Linked DNA regions of Saccharomyces cerevisiae S288C. Changing the gene in region 4 together with the main gene of any one other region gives a genetic interaction. Each region holds a gene or a part of one and is shown on either strand. Other genes may lie near its edges. The genes, in order: ENV7, PPA2, ACF2 and BCD1.

Region 1 (3,660 bases), on a different chromosome or scaffold from region 4:
CCAACTGCTGCCTATTTTAGGTGTACTTTTTTACTTCTTATCACCAACAATCACGCAAACATAAAATTTTTATTTATACATATATATTTGATGCAATTTCTGCCTTAAAGTACAAAATGCTTATTCCGTAGTATCCATGGCATCAGGGTCTGCTGATTTAGCAATGGATATTTGAACGTTGCCCTGATCATCAATATATTGTGACTCGTTCTCTTGAACATACTTAACAGATCTAGCGCTGTCCAAAAATAGCAAATAAGCCCTTTTGACATCTTCCACTTCAACAGTGTTGTTTTTTCTCTTCATTGCAATTTGCTGAGCAACAGAGATTAAATTACTGCTGTAACGCAAACTAGTTTCCACACCTGTTTTGGTCAATAGATCTAAGGCATCGGATGACAGTTCAACTTCCTCCTCTTGTGCTCTTATAGATAAAATTGTCTTAATCTCCTGCTCATTATAACTTTTAGTTGTAATAATAATTGACCTATCCAAAAGATCGAGAGGTAACCCATGTGGAGATTTGTAATTAGTCCCTCTGGTTTTGGAAACTCCTCTATTTGTAGCCATCATGACGATTGGGGCAAACTCATCTTCCAAAGCCCTATTTATAAAGGAAAAACATTCTATATCCAACATGTGGACTTCGTCGATAAATAATACACCAGGAACAATTTCTGCTTTACCTTCTTCTTTCCATTCTGCCACTTTTGTGTTTATCTGGTCTCTTACCTCTGACCTAATTTCACCGGTGTCACCAGTAAATAATGCCAAAAATCCTTGTGTTCTTGAATTAATAACATCAATTTCATGCAGTGACACCGTGTGAACCACTGTTTTCCTTTTTTGCAGTTCGCCTTCCGGACATTGAACAAATCTGGTATCAGCACCCATGGCATCATAATCCCTAGATCTAGCAAAGGATCTGCCTAGCTTGGTAATCTTCCCACTAGCTTTATCAATAGAAATAACATCGCCAGCCAATACCTTTTCTTTAGTTAGGCCATCAATCATTTTATTGCCTAATTCATAAATTGTTTCCATATCGGTAGTTTTAATAGTCAATTTTCCTTGTTTGTGTCCACCAGTAATAGATCTATCAATTTGAATTTCCACGACTTCACCTTCAATCAATTCTGTCTCCTCCTTGATTTTGATACCGATGGATTTCCTAAAAGCTTGAGTTAGTGCTTCAGTTTTACTCAATTCTAAAGAAAAGATTTCTGAGCCCGCAATAGCAGTGAATGGTACATCTTTACCCAGAGACTGGGAAACACCCATGGCAAGAGCGGTCTTACCAGTTGAAGGGGGGCCCGCTACCAAAACAGCCCTACCTGCTATGGTGCCATTTTGAACCATTTTCAATATCACACCAGCAGCACGACGGGCTTGCAATTGCCCAACCATACCTTCGGATGTGGGACGTGGTTGCAAGTTTTCATCTAGACCTAAACCTGTAATATGGGAGTGGGCAGCAATTAAAGATAACGACTTTAAATCTGATGTTTCATTTGGATCACTAGTTTGAATCGACATGCTGACAATTTTTTTTATTTCCTTTCAAAGTAACTTGTGCTAGACTGCTAGAGAAAGTAGTATTGCTGGCTTCAACTAACTGAACTTCTTTCTCTCGTTTCCCGTGTGAATGTACAGTCTTCATTTAGCTTTCATCTTCTATTGAAAACCTTCAAAAAGTTCGCTGAAAAAAATAATTTTCACGTTTCTTTCAAACTGATCACGTGAAAGGGAGTTAAATAGACTTTAATAAGTGTAGAAACAAAGAAGTAAAGAAAACCGCTATATTGGGTCTAACCAATACGACTGATACAACTGTGTTGACCCCCAAAGTTTACATAATTTGCTCTTTTTCTTTTTTGCAAGATCCTTTCTGTTTTGATAAGTCCTGTCTTATGACACCGAGTTAGGGACATTTTCGGTATCTGGTTTTGTAAGATGTTGAACCATACTTTCTCCAAAAAGACGAAACAGAGAGTAGACAAAAAGAGCCTGTAATCTCAGCGACTGACTAGGGATAAAATAACGATTGTACCATCTTATCCGATCAATGATTTCTATTGTATTGGAATTGTTCCAGAACTTGTGCTGCTGTCGCGGATTTTCCGATGCTACTATTAGGGTAAATGATAAACGATATAGGATTCAACGACTACTTGGAGAAGGTGGAATGTCCTTTGTGTATTTGGTACAACTGTCAAAGAATTCTCTGATTATAGACAACGGCATCGCAACACCAGAATTATACGCACTAAAGAAGATTATTTGTCCTAGTGTGGAAAGTATATCCAATGGTATGCGAGAAATTGAAAATTACAAACGGTTTCAAAGTCCTTATGTTATAAAAAGTATCGACTCACAAGTAATGCAGGAAAAAGATGGGTCAAAAACAATTTACATAGTACTACCCTATTATTCATTAGGGAGTTTACAAGACTCTATTAATCGGAGGTTACTCGAGGGCACCTTTGTATCAGAGGCAGAATGCGTAAGGATAATGCTTGGAGTTACAAGAGGTTTACTTTGTTTACATGATCCTGCGTCAAGACAAGATAACGCTACTTCCAGAGTAAATGTCGATGCGGTTTCTATGACTTATAGCGATGAAACGGCGATGCTCCTAGAAGACACCCCCTTAGAGATGGACATGCTTTCCTCCAACTCAGCAGGTTCAATAGCATATGCACATCGCGATATTACACCTTCAAACATTTTGTTCTCTTCAGACGGTTTACCAGTAATTGGTGACCTCGGCTCCTGCTCTCAAGCTGATATAACAATTGAAAACAGACATCAACTCAGCGAACTACAAGAATGGGTCAATGACAATTGTACGTTGCCATATACTCCACCAGAACTTCTGAACTTGAAATTAAATCAGGTTTTGAGCTCTAAGGTTGATATTTGGTCTTTGGGTTGTACGTTCTATACTTTAATGTTCGGTATCTCCCCCTTTGAGCGAGAAGAGCAGATACATGGAGCTTCTTTAACCTACGCTATAAACACTGGTAAGTACAGTTTCCCGAGAAATTCCAGATTTTCTGAGGGGCTTTTGAGTGTAATCAAGAAATGCATTCAAGTGGATCCTATACAAAGGCCTACTACCAGCCAATTATTAAATCTTTTACAAGATTTAGACACTTGATCGGTTTTGCTTCTCAAAGCTTTTTCCTGTCCTTGGGAAGTAAACAGGACACGATGATTGGCTGGCTCCATGCAATGTGTTCACTCTGATCAATGAAGATTACCTACCGCTGTTTAGATTTATTTTGTGAATGAAAATTTTTACTTTAAGTTTTTCTTCATTTAAACATTAAATATCTAATGAAACGAATAAAATACACAAGATAAACGAAATCCGTATTTATTATATATATGCTAACAGGTAAAGCACCAACATCACATTCTCCTTCTCTTACCAACGGTAGCTTGGAAACCGGTTTTAATAGAAGAGACGGATCTGGTAGAACCACAACTTTTACAGACCATAAAGAACAGTCTGTTTGACTGTTCTCTCTTCAATTCGGTGTTAATACTCTTACAAGTTTTACAAGTGACATACTCCAAAATGTATCTTCTTAAGACATTCTCCATTTGTTTGGATTGAAACTTACCCTTAATGACTAATCTTTTCTGACCGTCAAC
Region 2 (5,666 bases), on a different chromosome or scaffold from region 4:
GCCTATCAGAACGTCAAGCACCGTGGTAGATATTTTGCACATGTTTTCTGTGGATGGATTTTCTTTTGGGGGTTCCTTTACATTATTTACAGAGAATTGTATTTTTACACCTCTATGAAGCAAGCTGTACTAGCGTCCCCTCGTTATGCTAAAAAACTATCCTCGAGAACCGTGTTATTCCAGACTGTCCCTAAGCAATACTTAAGTGAAGAAGAGTTTTCTAAGTTGTTTGATGGTGTGAAAAGAGTCTGGATCGCAAGAGGTTCCGGTTCAATTGAAGCAATGGTCAAAGCAAGGGACAATATGGCCATACAATTGGAAGGTGCTGAAACAAAATACCTGAAAGCAGCATTGAAAAAAATTAAGAAGTTAAACAAAAAAAGTCCGCAATTATCTGTCTCTGATAATATTGCTGAATATGTCCCTGACAAGAAAAGACCACATCATAAAATTAACAAGGTTGCTAAATTCTTTTTTGGTAAAAAAGTTGACACCATATCCTACATTAAGGAGGAGTTGCCCAAGTTAAACCAAAAGGTGAAGGCATTACAAGAAGATCATGAAAATTCATCCCCTTTCAACTCCGTTTTTGTGGAGTTTGAATCCCAATATCAGGCCCAAGTTGCCGCTCAGATCACCACATACCATGCTCCTCTTTTCATGACGCCTGTGTATATTGGTATTGAGCCATCCGATGTCGTTTGGTTTAATTTGAGGATGTTCTGGTGGGAAAGATTAGGTAGGGAAGTCAGTGCGGTTTCAGCAATTGTCGCGCTAGTAATATTATGGGCTTTCCCAGTGGCTTTTGTTGGTATGATCTCTAATATTACTTCCTTGACTAATGAAGTTAAATGGTTAAAGTTCATCTATAAATTACCAAAACAACTATTAGGTTTACTGACATCTCTGGCCCCAACTGTGGCATTGGCCGTTTTAATGAGTTTCTTGCCGAAATTTATTAGGGGTATGGCTATCACTCAAGGTGCTCCATCTAAGCAAAATGTGGAATATTTCACTCAACAAGCTTATTTCGCCTTTCAAGTTATCCAAGTCTTTTTAGTTACCACTCTATCCTCCGCCGCCACTTCCACAGTAACGGAAATTGTTAAAGAGCCCACGAAGGCTATGGATCTACTGGCTTCTAATCTGCCAAAAGCTTCTAATTTTTTCATGTCATACGTTATTCTACAAGGTCTGTCCATTTCATCAGGTGCTCTTTTGCAAATTGTTCCACTAATACTCTTTTATGTTTTAGGTGCCTTTTTAGATGGTACCGTTAGGAAGAAATGGAATCGTTTTTGTGGGCTATCCAGTATGCAGTGGGGGACAGCTTTTCCAGTTTATACAAACTTGGCAGTTATTACTTTCTCCTACTCCATCATTTCTCCGTTGATTTTATTATTTGCTGCCGTCGCGTTTTTCCTATTGTATATTGCATATTTATACAATTTGACTTATGTCTATCAGGAATCACCCGACGCAAGGGGTATTTATTATCCAAGAGCTCTTTTCCAAACTATAGTTGGTATCTACATCGGTCAGATATGTCTATTAGGTCTTTTTGCCGTTGGTAAAGGTTGGGGCCCAATCGTTTTACAGGTAATTGGAATTTGTGTTACCGTCCTTATTCATTTACATTTGAGCGCTGCATTTGATCATTTATCAAAGGTTATACCCGTTGATACCATGAAACCGTTAGATGGTGTATCAGATACACCTTCTTTCAAAAATATTTATAAAGGCATAGAAAGTACAAAGGTGAAGAAAAATACTTTTGGTGCAAATATTGACATGGACGGAATCAAAGAATTACCTGAATTTCCAATAAAGAAATATCACAAGAGGAGTGAATCAGTCACTGAGCAACAAGTTGAAAATAGCATATTTAGTGAAAATACATTCGAATATCAATTCAACCCAGCAAATGAAGCCAATGCAGATGGGCACGCTATAAATGCAGAAAATTTAATTGAGGACGTGCCATTATTAGCAGATGGTGATACAATGAAAATTCCTCCGGCTCCATGGTGGAAGAGATTCTTAAAACCTCACATTTACTACTCCTATAAGGCTGTAAAGAGCAGACTGCCAGAAATATATGGTTTGGTTGATCCTGATGAAAGAGTCAATGATTTCGATATCTCTCATGCTTACGATTATCCAGCTGTTAGTGCACAATGCCCCGAATTGTGGATTCCTCGCGATCCTTTTGGATTTTCCAAATTGTTGATTTCAGACGTTTCTGGCGTTGTTGAAATGAACGATGAAAATGCTACCATCGATGAGAATTTGAAATTTACTCTGCGTGACGTACCACCACCATATAATGATGTTAAAGACGAAGCAAATGGTGAAGCAAATGGCGAATTTGACACAGCTAGTAAGGAAAATAATCCATTTGCGGACCCAAAGTATAAGGAAGAAGAGAGTCGTTCGGCAGTCTAAAGGTTAAACATTATCAGAAATTATCTATTCCTATTTGTTTAGCTGTTATCCTCTGATGGTTGAATTGTAATTTTACTAAGAAAAGGAGAGGAAAAGGACGTGCATATATTCTTTTAATACATTTAAAATATGATTCTAATCATTTCTTATATAATAGTGTATAGTCTAATCATTCATCGTGTATAGTAACCCTTTTTGTTTTTTTTTATGCAAAGTTTTTTTGTTTTTGGCAATCTATGAGGTTTGAATATTGGATAAAAGGAACTCCGCACAGTAATACGGAGCAGTCAGCTAATTTAACCAGCACTAATAGGGAGTACATTCAATTGGAAACTTTGATTCGCTTGTATGCGTGAAAAGCAAATTCCCTTCTAGAGAAGTTACTGAAAAACATGAATTTATTACGAATGAATGCTTTAACAAGCAAGGCTAGGTCAATAGAACGGTTAAAACAAACATTGAATATTTTATCCATTCGTAATCATAGACAATTCAGCACCATTCAACAAGGCAGCAAATATACCCTCGGGTTTAAGAAATACTTGACATTATTAAATGGAGAGGTTGGTTCTTTTTTCCATGATGTCCCTTTAGATTTGAATGAACATGAAAAGACCGTAAATATGATTGTTGAAGTACCAAGATGGACAACTGGAAAATTTGAAATATCCAAAGAACTTAGGTTCAATCCGATCGTTCAAGATACGAAGAATGGCAAGCTTAGGTTCGTGAACAATATCTTTCCCTATCACGGCTATATACACAACTATGGTGCTATTCCCCAAACATGGGAAGATCCCACAATTGAACATAAACTGGGGAAGTGTGACGTGGCTTTGAAAGGTGACAATGATCCTCTTGATTGTTGCGAAATCGGTTCGGATGTTTTGGAAATGGGTTCCATTAAAAAGGTCAAGGTATTAGGATCACTCGCTTTAATTGATGATGGAGAATTGGATTGGAAGGTCATAGTGATCGACGTAAATGATCCTTTATCCTCTAAAATAGATGACTTGGAAAAAATTGAGGAGTACTTTCCTGGGATTCTAGATACGACTAGGGAGTGGTTTAGAAAGTATAAAGTTCCAGCAGGGAAGCCATTAAATAGTTTCGCCTTTCATGAACAGTATCAAAATTCCAATAAAACCATCCAAACTATAAAGAAATGTCACAATTCGTGGAAAAACCTCATTTCAGGATCACTCCAGGAGAAGTATGACAACCTGCCTAATACAGAAAGGGCTGGTAATGGTGTCACACTTGAAGATAGTGTTAAACCCCCTTCTCAAATACCGCCTGAGGTGCAAAAATGGTATTACGTTTAATATGAAAATAATACCTTCGAAGAAAATGTTTAGATAAAGGTTCCTTGTATATAATTACGTAATCTCTGCTCTCTCGAATGTTGGCTGCTTGATGTATGTGAACGTTTGGAAAGAAACTTGGGTTTATATTCACTGCTAAAATGACATCCTATTAGAAGTTCGTCTTTCTCCGGTTCGGTTAGTCTACTCACCTAGAAACATCTTGCGAAAATCGTCGTTGGACATCTGCTCTTGTTTGTCAGGAATTTTTTTCTTTACTTGAAGATTTGGTCCTTTTTCCATCATGTTTATACAACTAGGTTTGACGTGTTTCATGCTGTGATTCTGTTGATTGTTATAATATCTTTTCATGTCATTAATAGTACCTGAACGTATCACCTTTCCCTGAAATTGAGATCCATTTAGTATCATTAGCATTTTTGCTGCAAACTTACTATCTCTAAATATAATAATGGCGCCATTGAAGTCGCTAACGAGAAGTATTTTCCTAATATCTTTTTCATTGATGTGTATTTCTTCCTGAAGAAATTGGCAGATTAAGCTTGGTGACACCTTATCTGAAAGTGGAAATAAGCATATTAGTGTTTCTAGTTCTTTGCTGTTACGCGATGCGAGAAGTCTTTTGACTTCGTTTCTTTCTAAGAATGGTTTTTTATCAGCCAAGGAAACGGAAATTTCCCTATTACCTAACAAACTTCTATTCATTTGAAGTGCCCTTTCAGCAGAATCTTTATTTTCAAAAACCATAAATGCACAACAGTTATTGAAACTGTGCTCTTTCTGTCCAGCAGGTATGTTGATTTTTTCAATGGAACCAAATCCCTCAAAAGATTCCCTCAGAAGGTTTTCGTCGAGCAATTCTGTACTTAGGTTTCGTATCATAATCTCTCGCCCCTCTAGTGTGGCAGAATCGGTCCGTTTCGACTTTTCCAGCGGATTGGAAACTTTAGTAACTAAAGTATAACCTTCTATTTTGAGTCCATTCAATTTTTCTACACAATATCTTGCATCCTCTTTAGAAGTAACATCGATGTAAGCGAACCTTCTGCTTGTATTGAATCGTAAACTGGGAAGCCGTATACTGAGTGCAACAACGTTAATATCTTGCAATAGATCTCTAATATTTCTTTGAGTATAACTTGGGGGGAAATTCGTCATCCATAATGTGCATTCTGTTAAATGAGATACTATAATTTCATTCTGACCTACAACTTTGTGTGTTTTGGTTATTGCAGCGAGGGCTCCATCATACCTGGCAAATTCAATACGTGCAAAACGAAAGTTCTTCTTCAGCGAATCCGCAACATCAACGTGTATAATGGGCCCACAATGTTTGAAGTACTTATAGACTTTGTTTTGATTATAGCTCTTAGGCAAATTTTTGACTAATACAGTTGTTAATTCTCTATTTCTTGTTAAAGCTTCGTTCGCCTTCTTAGAAGTTAATCCTGCGGCTGCTGGTGATCCTTCATCCAATGGTCGTTTTGAATCTGGTCTAGCGTGATGTCCATACTCCATTATCACAGATTATGAAGTGAATATGTGGGCTTGTTTATCGCTAATGATTCTCATATAATAAATATAAAGGGTTTTCAATGTTGTAGTAAATCTGCCATTTTGAATAAGTTCCCGCCTGAAAATTTTTTAGCGATGACTTTAAAAAAGACATTGATGCACTCTACAATTCATTGTCATGATGTACATAGAAAATTGAATGATACAAGCGGAAATATTATCAGAATAAATCGGACATGGATAGCAAAGAATATCTGATATCATATGGTTGGAAAGAAGGAGAAGCGTTTAGAGAAGGTGGTTTGAAAAGACCCATACTGGTAAAGCACAAGAGAGATAAGAAGGGATTGGGTAATGCTCCTGGCGGGAATGATGGCGAAG
Region 3 (7,109 bases), on a different chromosome or scaffold from region 4:
AGTTAAAAATAAAATATCAAAACGCCGATGAGACAGGCAGGATAAAGTGACAGATTCAGTTATACATTATGGTTAATAATTCACAGCATCCTTACATCAAAGATGGATGGTTTAGAGAGATTAATGATAAAAGTTTTCCGGGCCAGGCCTTTACTATGACCGTGGACTCAATACTTTATGAAGCCCGCAGTGAATTTCAGGACATCTTAATCTTCCGTAACAAGGTATACGGTACTGTTTTGGTCCTCGATGGTATTGTCCAATGTACGGAATTTGATGAGTTTGCCTATCAAGAGATGATCACCCACATTGCCATGTTTGCGCATTCTAATCCCAAGCGTGTACTTATCATTGGCGGTGGGGACGGAGGTGTCTTAAGGGAAGTAGCCAAGCACAGCTGTGTAGAAGATATCACTATGGTAGAAATTGACTCATCAGTGATCGAATTATCCCGTAAGTTCTTGCCCACATTGAGTAATGGTGCTTTCGATGACGAAAGGTTGGACTTGAAACTTTGCGATGGCTTCAAGTTCTTACAAGATATAGGTGCTTCCGACGTCCATAAGAAATTTGACGTCATTATTACAGATAGTTCTGATCCTGAAGGTCCAGCTGAAGCGTTTTTTCAAGAGAGGTATTTCGAACTATTGAAAGATGCTTTAAATCCTAATGGCGTTGTTATTATGCAAAGCTCTGAAAATTTTTGGTTAAATTTAAAATACTTACATGATTTGAAAAATACAGCCAAAAAGGTATTTCCTAATACAGAATATTGCTATACCATGGTTCCAACCTATACATCTGGCCAATTAGGTTTAATTGTTTGCAGTAATAACGCCAATATACCGTTGAACATTCCGCAAAGAAAGATATCTGAGCAAGAACAAGGGAAGCTGAAGTACTATAATCCTCAAATACATTCTAGTGCGTTTGTTTTGCCTACTTGGGCAGACAAGGTCATTAATGAATGATTTATTAGCATTGATATTATTATTTTAAAAAGTCTATTTACTTGTATATTTATCCGAATATGCCATCAATGGCTGATTTGTTCTTCTTTTTCCTTTTCTTTTTCTTCTTACAGTTCTCTGTCAGAGGCTTTGGTATAGACGTTATCACTAGTTCGTTTTCTTGAACGTTGTTGCCAATATCTTCATCTATAATTTCTCCAAGTTCTTCGACATCGTTCACAACCGATTTTGCTTTTGTTCTCGGTAAGTTCTTTATTAAGCATCCACATCTTATAAACTCAGTTTCATTAATCTCCCATAATCTCATATACAGTGCCCTCACATTTGCCAGCAATGTTACTAGTGTACAACCCAACGTTACAAATTGTCCCAGCGCAATTACGCCATTGAACTGCCAGTACCATCTCTTTAACTGTCTAAAAAGTGCTCTCTGTAATAGCCTGTGCAACTTGACCCATTCAACATCTTTAAGGCGTTTGGCTTGTAATCTTCTCGAGCTAAAAAGCGTTATTATTTGTCCACAATTTCTTTTCATCTCATTGAACGATCCATACCAGCTAGCCGCTCTATGTTGATTTTTGTTCCTATGGTTCAAGAGCAATATTAACCGATATTCTTGCTCCAGAGATCGTATCACATTATCCATCTCATCCATTTTGTTTCTGCTCTTTTTTTTTTTGTGGATATATCATTCTAGTACTCATTTCTTTGAAGTTTTTTTCTTGGAACCATAAATAAAATTCATGAATTTCTGAAAAGTGCTAGTATCATAAAAACAAAAATAAATAAATACGAGAAGTAAAAAGATGTGTTACAGTAGGCAAGCCATTCCTCCACCTGTTCCTAATAGACCTGGCGGTACTACCAATAGAGGACCTCCTCCCTTACCACCTCGCGCAAATGTTCAGCCACCAGTTTGTTCTTCTGAGAACTCCAGTAAACCTCGAGAAAATAGGGTGGCAGGTGAATCACTGCGCACACCAAGCAGTTCTAACCCTTTAGCTGACAGCCAGGTGAATAGTGACAATATTTTTCAATCACCTGTCCTTTCTAACTTAAAAGCTCCTCCTTCCGTCTTCAACAAAGTTCAACACCCGGTACCAAAGCCGAATATTGATGATCAATCTGTTGATCCATTGGAGACAAACAAGTTCTACACAAACATGTTATTAGACGATAATACACAACCTATATGGACACATCCTTATTCAATTTGGTTTTCTCGTGATCCAGAATTGTTTGGTTTGGCCGCCAATCATACTTTAGCGTCTCAAAGGGTTTTTGATACAACTACAAATCCTCCCAGATTCTACTTCAATCCCACAAATATAAAATCATTTGTATTCAAGGCCAGGGAATTTGTCTCTTCAAATGATATCAAGCTTGAATTCCGGGATATGAAACATATGTCCATGTGCTTACTAATGTCTTTGAGTAGTTCCCAGTTTATAGAATTCCCGCTGGTTCAGGGGATGGGCTTTGTCACGGCTATTTACCACGATTTGGGTTTTGAATTAAGAAGCGCCGTTGGTTTCAGGAGCTTAGAGCGCATAAGCGTGAATGAAAGATATGGTAAATATAATATACAACTTGAGAATAATAGGAATTGGATACTTTATTTGACCTCACCTGATTACTCTTTTCCACAAGATTTTCAAATTTCATTACTCGACAGCAATACAATAATATCATCTCATAAAATCAATGGTCTTATCTGTCAATTATCTGCAGACTCCGTCCCCAGTATTGACATGGCAGCGGGCTGTTATCCAGTATACTGTGACCTATCAGGGCAAACTGTTGATGAACATTTCACAAATTACAGATTTAACTATACGGTTGCAGGCTACTCGCAGTCTGGAACTACTCTAATGTATGCTTTACCACATCATAAAGCGGCATTCACACCAGAAATGCAGGAACGTGAAATTGCCTCAAGCCTGGATTCCACAGTTAAAGGCTTAATGACTGGTTATCTCACAAACAGTTTTGATATGCAGGTTCAAGTACCTCAAGAATTGGGCTTTGAACCTGTCGCGTTATCTTTGAATAAGAAGGCAGATTACAGTCAAGAAAAGCTATCTAAAATTCGGGAAGCTGCTGTTCAAGAAGTTCAATTGAGTGACCCTCAACAAGAATCAAACATAGATTCTATGTATTTCTCTGGTAAGATACTTGCAAAGTATGCGTGGATTCTTTATGTGACACATTACATCCTTCATGATGAAAATTTAACAAAAGAATTATTATCTAAACTGACTATTGCAATGGAGAGATTCATCAGCAATCAGCAAGTCTTACCTTTAAATTACGACGTTAGTTGGAAAGGCATAATTTCATCAGGCTCTTCTAGCCAAGACTTTGGTAACTCTTATTATAATGATCATCATTTTCATTACTCTTATCATGTCATAACGGCTGCCATTATCTCTTTAGTCGATTCTGATTTAAGTGGAGTTACTAACAACTCCTGGTTAGAAAATAATAGAGATTGGGTTGAGTGCTTAATTAGAGATTACTCTGGTGTTGACAACGATGATCCGTACTTCCCTCAATTTAGGTCATTTGATTGGTTTAATGGCCATTCATGGGCCAAAGGACTATTTCCAAGTGGTGACGGTAAAGATGAAGAATCTACTTCAGAAGATGTCAATTCTTGCTATGCGATAAAATTGTGGGGGTTGGTAACTGGAAATTCTAAGTTAACTGACATAGCGAACTTACAACTCGGCATCATGAGAAATGTTTTCCAGAGCTACTTCCTATACGAAAGCAATAATACTGTCCAACCGAAAGAATTTATTGGTAATAAAGTTAGTGGTATTTTATTCGAAAATAAAATTGATCACGCCACGTATTTTGGCATGGAGCCTCAATACATTCATATGATTCACGCCATTCCTATAACATCAGCATCTTCATGGGTCAGAACACCAAATTTTGTCAAAGAGGAGTGGGAAGAAAAAATGCAGCCGATAATTGATCAAGTGAATGACGGTTGGAAAGGAATAATCATGTTAAATATGGCTCTGCTTGATCCAAAATTTTCGTACGACTTTTTCAGCCAACCTGATTTCAACAGAAATTTCCTAGACAATGGGCAAAGCTTAACTTGGTCTTTAGCTTATTCAGGTGCTTTTTCTTAGGGGTCAGAAATATATACAGTGTTAGTAGCATGGTACAAGTGTTACGATAAGGTATTTTATAGAATGATCATTTTTTTATATGAATATTGGTTCCTAAACCATCATCAATAATCAAATTATTACAGAACACACCTTAATTGTGCGGCGTATTCTAAATTTTACGTGTTCACAATATGGTGTTGTTCCTATGATTTGCTAACATATTTGGGATCTGTCTATCATTTACACCGCCAGGAGCGTGGACAGCGTATATCTATTAAGTTTATAAAATATAAGGCCTACATTTGGAGTTAGGAACGAATATGCAACCCAAAGCGGTGTTCTTTACCACGGTAATCAAAAAGTTTCTCCACCGGATAGTATCCAATGTGATGGTGGAAAGTGATGATTTCTTTGGGATTATAATAGAGGGTAATCTGGGCTGATTTTGGGGTTTTTTCCAAGATAAGTTCTAACTCCTCTCTACTATCTACAAATCCCGTAATAAAGTTTCTATTATATCCAAACGCACTAACTGTAGTGTTATGAAAACCTTCAATATTCAAATTCAATTTCTGGAATACGGTTGAAACATCATCATTCTCTTCCCTTTCTTTCTTGTCGGAATCATTATCGTCCACTATTAATCTCTTACAAGTAACACCACCAAATTCTGCAACAGCGCCTCTAGGTAATTCAGAAATCTTTACAAGAACTAGGCATTTTTCAACATCATCAGATTTGTCCATCCATAGATCTGATCTATGATTCATATTTGAACAATAAAACGCCCATGTTTTGATGACAGAGTCGAGAACCGATTCGTCTGAAATATAGCATGTCATGAGTAACTTTTCTTGAGCTCCTATTGTTTCACACAAAGTATCAAAATGTTGTAATGCCAAAACTATTTGGTCAGTGAGAGGTGTTCCTAATATTTCCATTGACTGCGGTACTAGTCCGATTTGCCCACTGATAAAACTGACTTGGTTTGCATCATCGTTTAACCAAGTACTTTGGGAATATGGTCCGATATTACATGGAGCCCAATATGAACGGCCTTGAACATGTAGTCCGCCCTTATTCTTGTTGATTTTTTCTTTGCCTGTATTTTTTACATCAACAACAACTGATAACTGTACGTGACAATCTTCTGGCAAGCACTTCGAACCTACGCATGCTCTTGATGGTGGCAAAGGTCCGTATTTTGACAAATCTAAAAATTCATTGTATATTTTGTTGATTTTTCCGAAATTAGACATATCTCTAATTAATAATGACGCAGATAAAATATGATTCCGTGGAATCTGGTTGGAATGCAGAATGTCGGCTAGCTCAGTAAAAATATCTTCACTTTGCTTCTCGACCGTCTCACTTTTACGTGATTGTAGGTTAGAGATGTACAACTTATCATTGGTTTTATTGATTGTCGTTTGTGGTAGAGCATTCGACATGTGATTTTCAAATCTTTGTTCTCCTGTTTTAGCTTGTTGCTTTGGCAAATTTTGGGTTAAATCTTGCCAATTATTACCAAAAATCGAAGGTACAGGTAATTGATCTAATTGGTTGAGTAAAAAACTTTTGCTCAAATTACGCGGTTGAAATTTTACCTTTAACCTTGCATTGTGAACTTCACCATCGCTACATTTGACAATATCAATTAATTCCAAGTATCCATGTTGGAAAAAAGGGGCATCCAAGACCATTGTCTCAAACTCCCCACCCTCTCCACAGATATGAACTTGATAAAGTTGGTTAAGTTTCTGTAACACCGGTTGCATCATAGGCAAGGACATTCCTAAATGTTTCTCGTTCAATCCAATTGCTGCCACCTTGATTATCCTGGCGTCAAATTTATTTCCTGAATTAGTATCGTTTTCAACATTGTTAACATCCTTGGACATAAGGCACATTTCACCCATTAGTTCGGCTTGATCCCTTTGCCATAAATAGCTTAGCACTACTAGACCCAATCTGGAACAAACATTTTCCACTCTGGTCCTCTGGTAAGACGATAAGATGGCACCTACACTAACAGCTTCTAAATCTGGAATTTTATCTTTGACAGTTCTTAGAAGTTCAAATAGTTCTTCAATTTCATCATCCTGAGTAGCAGTATAATTCAACTCGACGTTGTTAGAAGTGTTCCGTAATATTGAGCGTCTAAATAGTGGAACACCAATACATTTAGAATAATAGTCTATTAAGTCATGTCCTACTGTTTGGAACATGAAAGAGTCTAATTCTTGCTCTTCTGATTCTTTTGGGTATATATTTCCCAGGGCAATCAATTCATGGTTGTTCTTCAGGCAGTGAAAAATATTGTAGAACGAGTCCTTCCCACCTGATATTAATGCTATAAACTTCATGATACTGACTTATTGGGCTTTGAATTTTGATATAGCTTTATCAAAGATTTCCGTTTGAACTAGCTATTCATCATCCATCAGATATAAGTGAAAAAAAGCTTCTTTAATAGAAGCTTAAAAAAATTCTCCGCGACGGGGAATTGAACCCCGATCTGGCACGCGACAAGCGCCCATTCTGACCATTAAACTATCACGGATAAGAAACACTGGAAAACTATGTATCCCAAAATCCCATACGTTGGTTTACTAACACTACTAGATGTATTATTCATAGGTACCCCAAAATCCTTACAAAGAGACAAGGCTGAGTGTATCAAGCAAAACCGCTTTAAATCTGATGTTCTGCGCTTTCTCCCTTTGATTAGATTCAGGTCTTATGTAGTTTATAGAAGATGAGTACCTTTCTTGTGCATAAGAGTTGATAATAAGCCTGACGACGACAAGCCACTTTCCTACCGATTTAGGATTGGCAAAACATCTGGTACTATTCGAACCCATAATCAATAGGAAGAAAGCTTTACCAACAGATTGTTATTTAAGTGGTTCAAGTATATTAACTCTTGATATCCGTGCGTTTACTTTACTATTAGTGTTATTATCATTACTTATATATAATATGTATAACTAGAACATCAGAATTATGT
Region 4 (3,176 bases):
GACTGCCGCAGCGGCGGATATCCCTCCGGCGCTGGTGTTCAATGGCTCATCTACGGGCGTTCCTGAGTCCATAGACACTATTTTGTCGTCCAAGCTGTCCAACATCTGGATGCAGAGGCAGCTCATCAAGGGTGATGCCGGTGAGACGTTGATCTTGGACGGGCTCACCGTGCGACTCGTCAACCTCTTCTCCTCCACTGGGTTCAAGGGTCTCCTGATAGAACTGCAGGCGGACGAAGCGGGCGAGTTTGAGACCAAGATTGCAGGCATCGAAGGACACCTAGCTGAAATCCGGGCCAAGGAGTACAAAACCTCATCCGACTCGTTGGGGCCGGACACCAGCAACGAAATATGTGATTTGGCGTACCAGTATGTTCGTGCTCTGGAGCTGTGAGTTCTTACGAATGCTTTTTCTTTTTTTTTTTTTCTGTTTGTATATTGCGGTGTATACGTATAGATAGATAGTCTAAATAGTAATCTTCAACCTTATGTATCTCGGCTCATGCAGTGAGGAAATCCATGGATAAGCCCGGATTGTAGTCATCGTCGCTGTCGCTGTCGCTGTCGCTGGCGTCCTGTGTTTCCTTCTGTACAGGTTCTTCTGTCGGTTGAGAGTCCTCTTCAGCGTCTTCCTCCTCCCTTGCATTGTCAATAAACTTGTTCAGTGTACTCGTATGCTCAAGTGGGCGGGGTTCCTGGTGTAGCACCTCGTAGCCCTCTGGTAGGTCAGCCTCTGTCATGGCAACGAATATCGTGGGAAACTCGATCACTGTGGTGTTCTTCAACAATTCTCCGATGCATTTCTCATGTATAGCCAACTCCACCAGTTTTTTTGAATCCATTATATGCGTGGTGTTGTAAGGGAACGTTTTCGTGTAGAATTTGAGCCCACTCTTCTGTAGGATCTGTGTTCTTTCCTCTTTGGTCTCCGAACCGTCTTCGCCCTCTATGCAAGAGCTTGTTCCAGCCAAGCGATAGAATTCACAGCATTTTTGGAAAACGTTCTTGCCCATCCCTTGCACCAAAAAGTCTGTCTCTTTGATACGGTGGCTGACATGTTTGAAAAGCTCCTTTTTCTCACCCTTTTCCTGCATAGGACATAGAATCCACTCCACGCTCCATACAAATAGGTCCATCGTTTTGTCCCACTTGCTCCTGTTTTGCGATGATCGCTGCATCCCCTTGGGTAGCATCAAACAGTTCACCCCCCTCCTAATTATCCTCTGACACTCCGTGCTATCACGATCATCCTCATCTATATCGTATCTTCTCTTCTTGAAATTAGAGTTGTGGCCGCCCACAGGCCCCAGAACCCGCTTGTTCTTCATTCTAGCATCCATCTTTTGTACATGCACCATTCGCTTCAACTGCGTCAGATAGTTGTAGTCCCTCTGGACATAAGCATTTCGTTCGTGCTTGTCGTCGTCCGCCTGTTTCAACGCCTCACTCGATATATACTCCTTAGGATCATGTGTTTGACCTGAGCAATTGTCCCTTGTCTTGTGCTTCTTGGAACACTCCAAAGAGCAAGTTTGCACCAAACATCTTGGACACTTGTATTTGAACTCTTTTATTCCGCATACACCACACAACACCGCCATACTTGCAAATTGCCACACCCTTCCCTATTAACTGGACTCCTATTCCAGCTCATCTCATCGAATATGAACTTTGACATCCACTATTATTACCGCGAATTTTTTTTTTTTTCAATTTGTTACCCTGCCTTGGGTATCAAAAATTTCATCTCTAAAAGGGAGCGTGATAGATAAAGCAATCACACCTTAAACAATACATTTTTTTTTTTCCTGCAATCTCCAAAGTGTGCAAGGTATACAAAGCAGAATGGTATGTGCCATTACATTACGTGTCAACACTTCTGTCTCTAACAAGCGTTCTTACTAACATGAAAAACTTTTTTAAAACTGTGCTCTCTTGTTGGACTGGTACCTCGTGACAAAGGTATTGGTTTTTTCATTGTTGCTCAGAACTATGTAATATTCTCTTTAGTCCCAAAAAAACGGAATTGCCACCCTACTACAAGCTGAAAAGGAAGCCCACGAAATAGTATCAAAGGCTAGAAAGTACAGACAAGATAAGTTGAAGCAAGCCAAGACTGATGCAGCCAAGGAAATCGACTCATACAAAATTCAAAAAGACAAGGAATTGAAGGAGTTTGAACAAAAGAATGCCGGTGGTGTTGGTGAATTGGAAAAGAAAGCAGAGGCTGGTGTGCAAGGTGAATTAGCTGAGATTAAGAAAATTGCAGAGAAGAAAAAGGATGACGTTGTCAAAATTTTGATCGAGACTGTCATCAAGCCTTCTGCTGAAGTCCATATCAATGCCTTGTAATATTGCATTACATTCTAGTTTTCTAATCATATATCTTTTTATAATATAATACCAATAGAATAAAAATGTATAAACTGACATTGCATTCGGTCTTTACGACTCTCGCTTTATCCATTCAGCCTTTTTTTTTTTTTTTTTTTTTTCTCTATCTGCTAAACGAGTAGTAGTATAATCAAAAATGTGTTATTTAGTATATCGGTTGTAAAGGAGAAAGTATGGTCTCTCTATTTTTATTTTATTAACGAAAAATACTAAACGCCGATGGGGATTACTATATAATTATAATAGTATTTGCAGAATAGTAGAATTCTTTTCACAGTTCACGTTCAGTTTCTCCTCTGTTTTATCGAACGTTTATTCATCATGTCCAAGGTCTATCTGAATTCAGACATGATTAACCATTTGAACTCCACAGTTCAAGCTTACTTTAACTTATGGTTGGAGAAGCAAAACGCAATAATGCGTTCTCAACCCCAAATTATTCAAGATAACCAAAAACTGATAGGCATTACAACGCTAGTTGCCTCAATTTTCACTCTGTATGTTTTGGTCAAGATAATCTCCACCCCAGCAAAGTGTTCCTCGTCCTATAAGCCAGTCAAATTCTCCCTTCCTGCACCAGAGGCCGCTCAAAATAATTGGAAGGGCAAGAGGTCTGTTTCCACTAACATATGGAATCCTGAAGAACCAAACTTTATTCAATGTCATTGTCCCGCCACAGGTCAATATCTAGGTTCTTTTCCATCGAAAACGGAAGCTGACATAGATGAAATGGTTTCTAAGGCAGGCAAAGCTCAATCTACTTGGGGCAATTCTGATTTCTC

What was found.
Region 1: mutations in BCD1 (region 4) and ENV7 together harm fitness more than expected from each alone (negative genetic interaction), as found in Saccharomyces cerevisiae (one large-scale study listed by BioGRID).
Region 2: mutations in BCD1 (region 4) and PPA2 together harm fitness more than expected from each alone (negative genetic interaction), as found in Saccharomyces cerevisiae (one large-scale study listed by BioGRID).
Region 3: mutations in BCD1 (region 4) and ACF2 together harm fitness more than expected from each alone (negative genetic interaction), as found in Saccharomyces cerevisiae (one large-scale study listed by BioGRID).

Annotation. Positions count from the first base shown.
Region 1 is NC_001148.4:101,108-104,767, reverse strand, and holds ENV7 (putative serine/threonine protein kinase ENV7), read left to right. Parts: upstream 1-2,065; coding exon 2,066-3,160; downstream 3,161-3,660. Other genes in the region: RVB2 (RuvB family ATP-dependent DNA helicase reptin), read right to left, coding at 121-1,536; SUI3 (translation initiation factor eIF2 subunit beta), read right to left, coding at 3,415-3,660. UniProt on the Saccharomyces cerevisiae protein: Serine/threonine-protein kinase involved in vacuolar processing and morphology.
Region 2 is NC_001145.3:798,935-804,600, forward strand, and holds PPA2 (inorganic diphosphatase PPA2), read left to right. Parts: upstream 1-2,837; coding exon 2,838-3,770; downstream 3,771-5,666. Other genes in the region: RSN1 (Rsn1p), read left to right, coding at 1-2,445; U6 snRNP complex subunit PRP24, read right to left, coding at 3,954-5,288; TMA23 (Tma23p), read left to right, coding at 5,522-5,666. UniProt on the Saccharomyces cerevisiae protein: Involved in energy production. Its activity is stimulated by uncouplers of ATP synthesis.
Region 3 is NC_001144.5:426,685-433,793, reverse strand, and holds ACF2 (endo-1,3(4)-beta-glucanase), read left to right. Parts: upstream 1-1,777; coding exon 1,778-4,117; downstream 4,118-7,109. Other genes in the region: SPE4 (spermine synthase), read left to right, coding at 69-971; RMP1 (Rmp1p), read right to left, coding at 1,021-1,626; DPH6 (diphthine--ammonia ligase), read right to left, coding at 4,408-6,465. UniProt on the Saccharomyces cerevisiae protein: Cleaves internal linkages in 1,3-beta-glucan.
Region 4 is NC_001140.6:186,349-189,524, reverse strand, and holds BCD1 (Bcd1p), read right to left. Parts: upstream 1,602-3,176; coding exon 501-1,601; downstream 1-500. Other genes in the region: SRB2 (Srb2p), read left to right, coding at 1-394; VMA10 (H(+)-transporting V1 sector ATPase subunit G), read left to right, coding at 1,846-1,848, 2,011-2,352; MSC7 (meiotic recombination directing protein), read left to right, coding at 2,716-3,176. UniProt on the Saccharomyces cerevisiae protein: Required for box C/D snoRNAs accumulation involved in snoRNA processing, snoRNA transport to the nucleolus and ribosome biogenesis.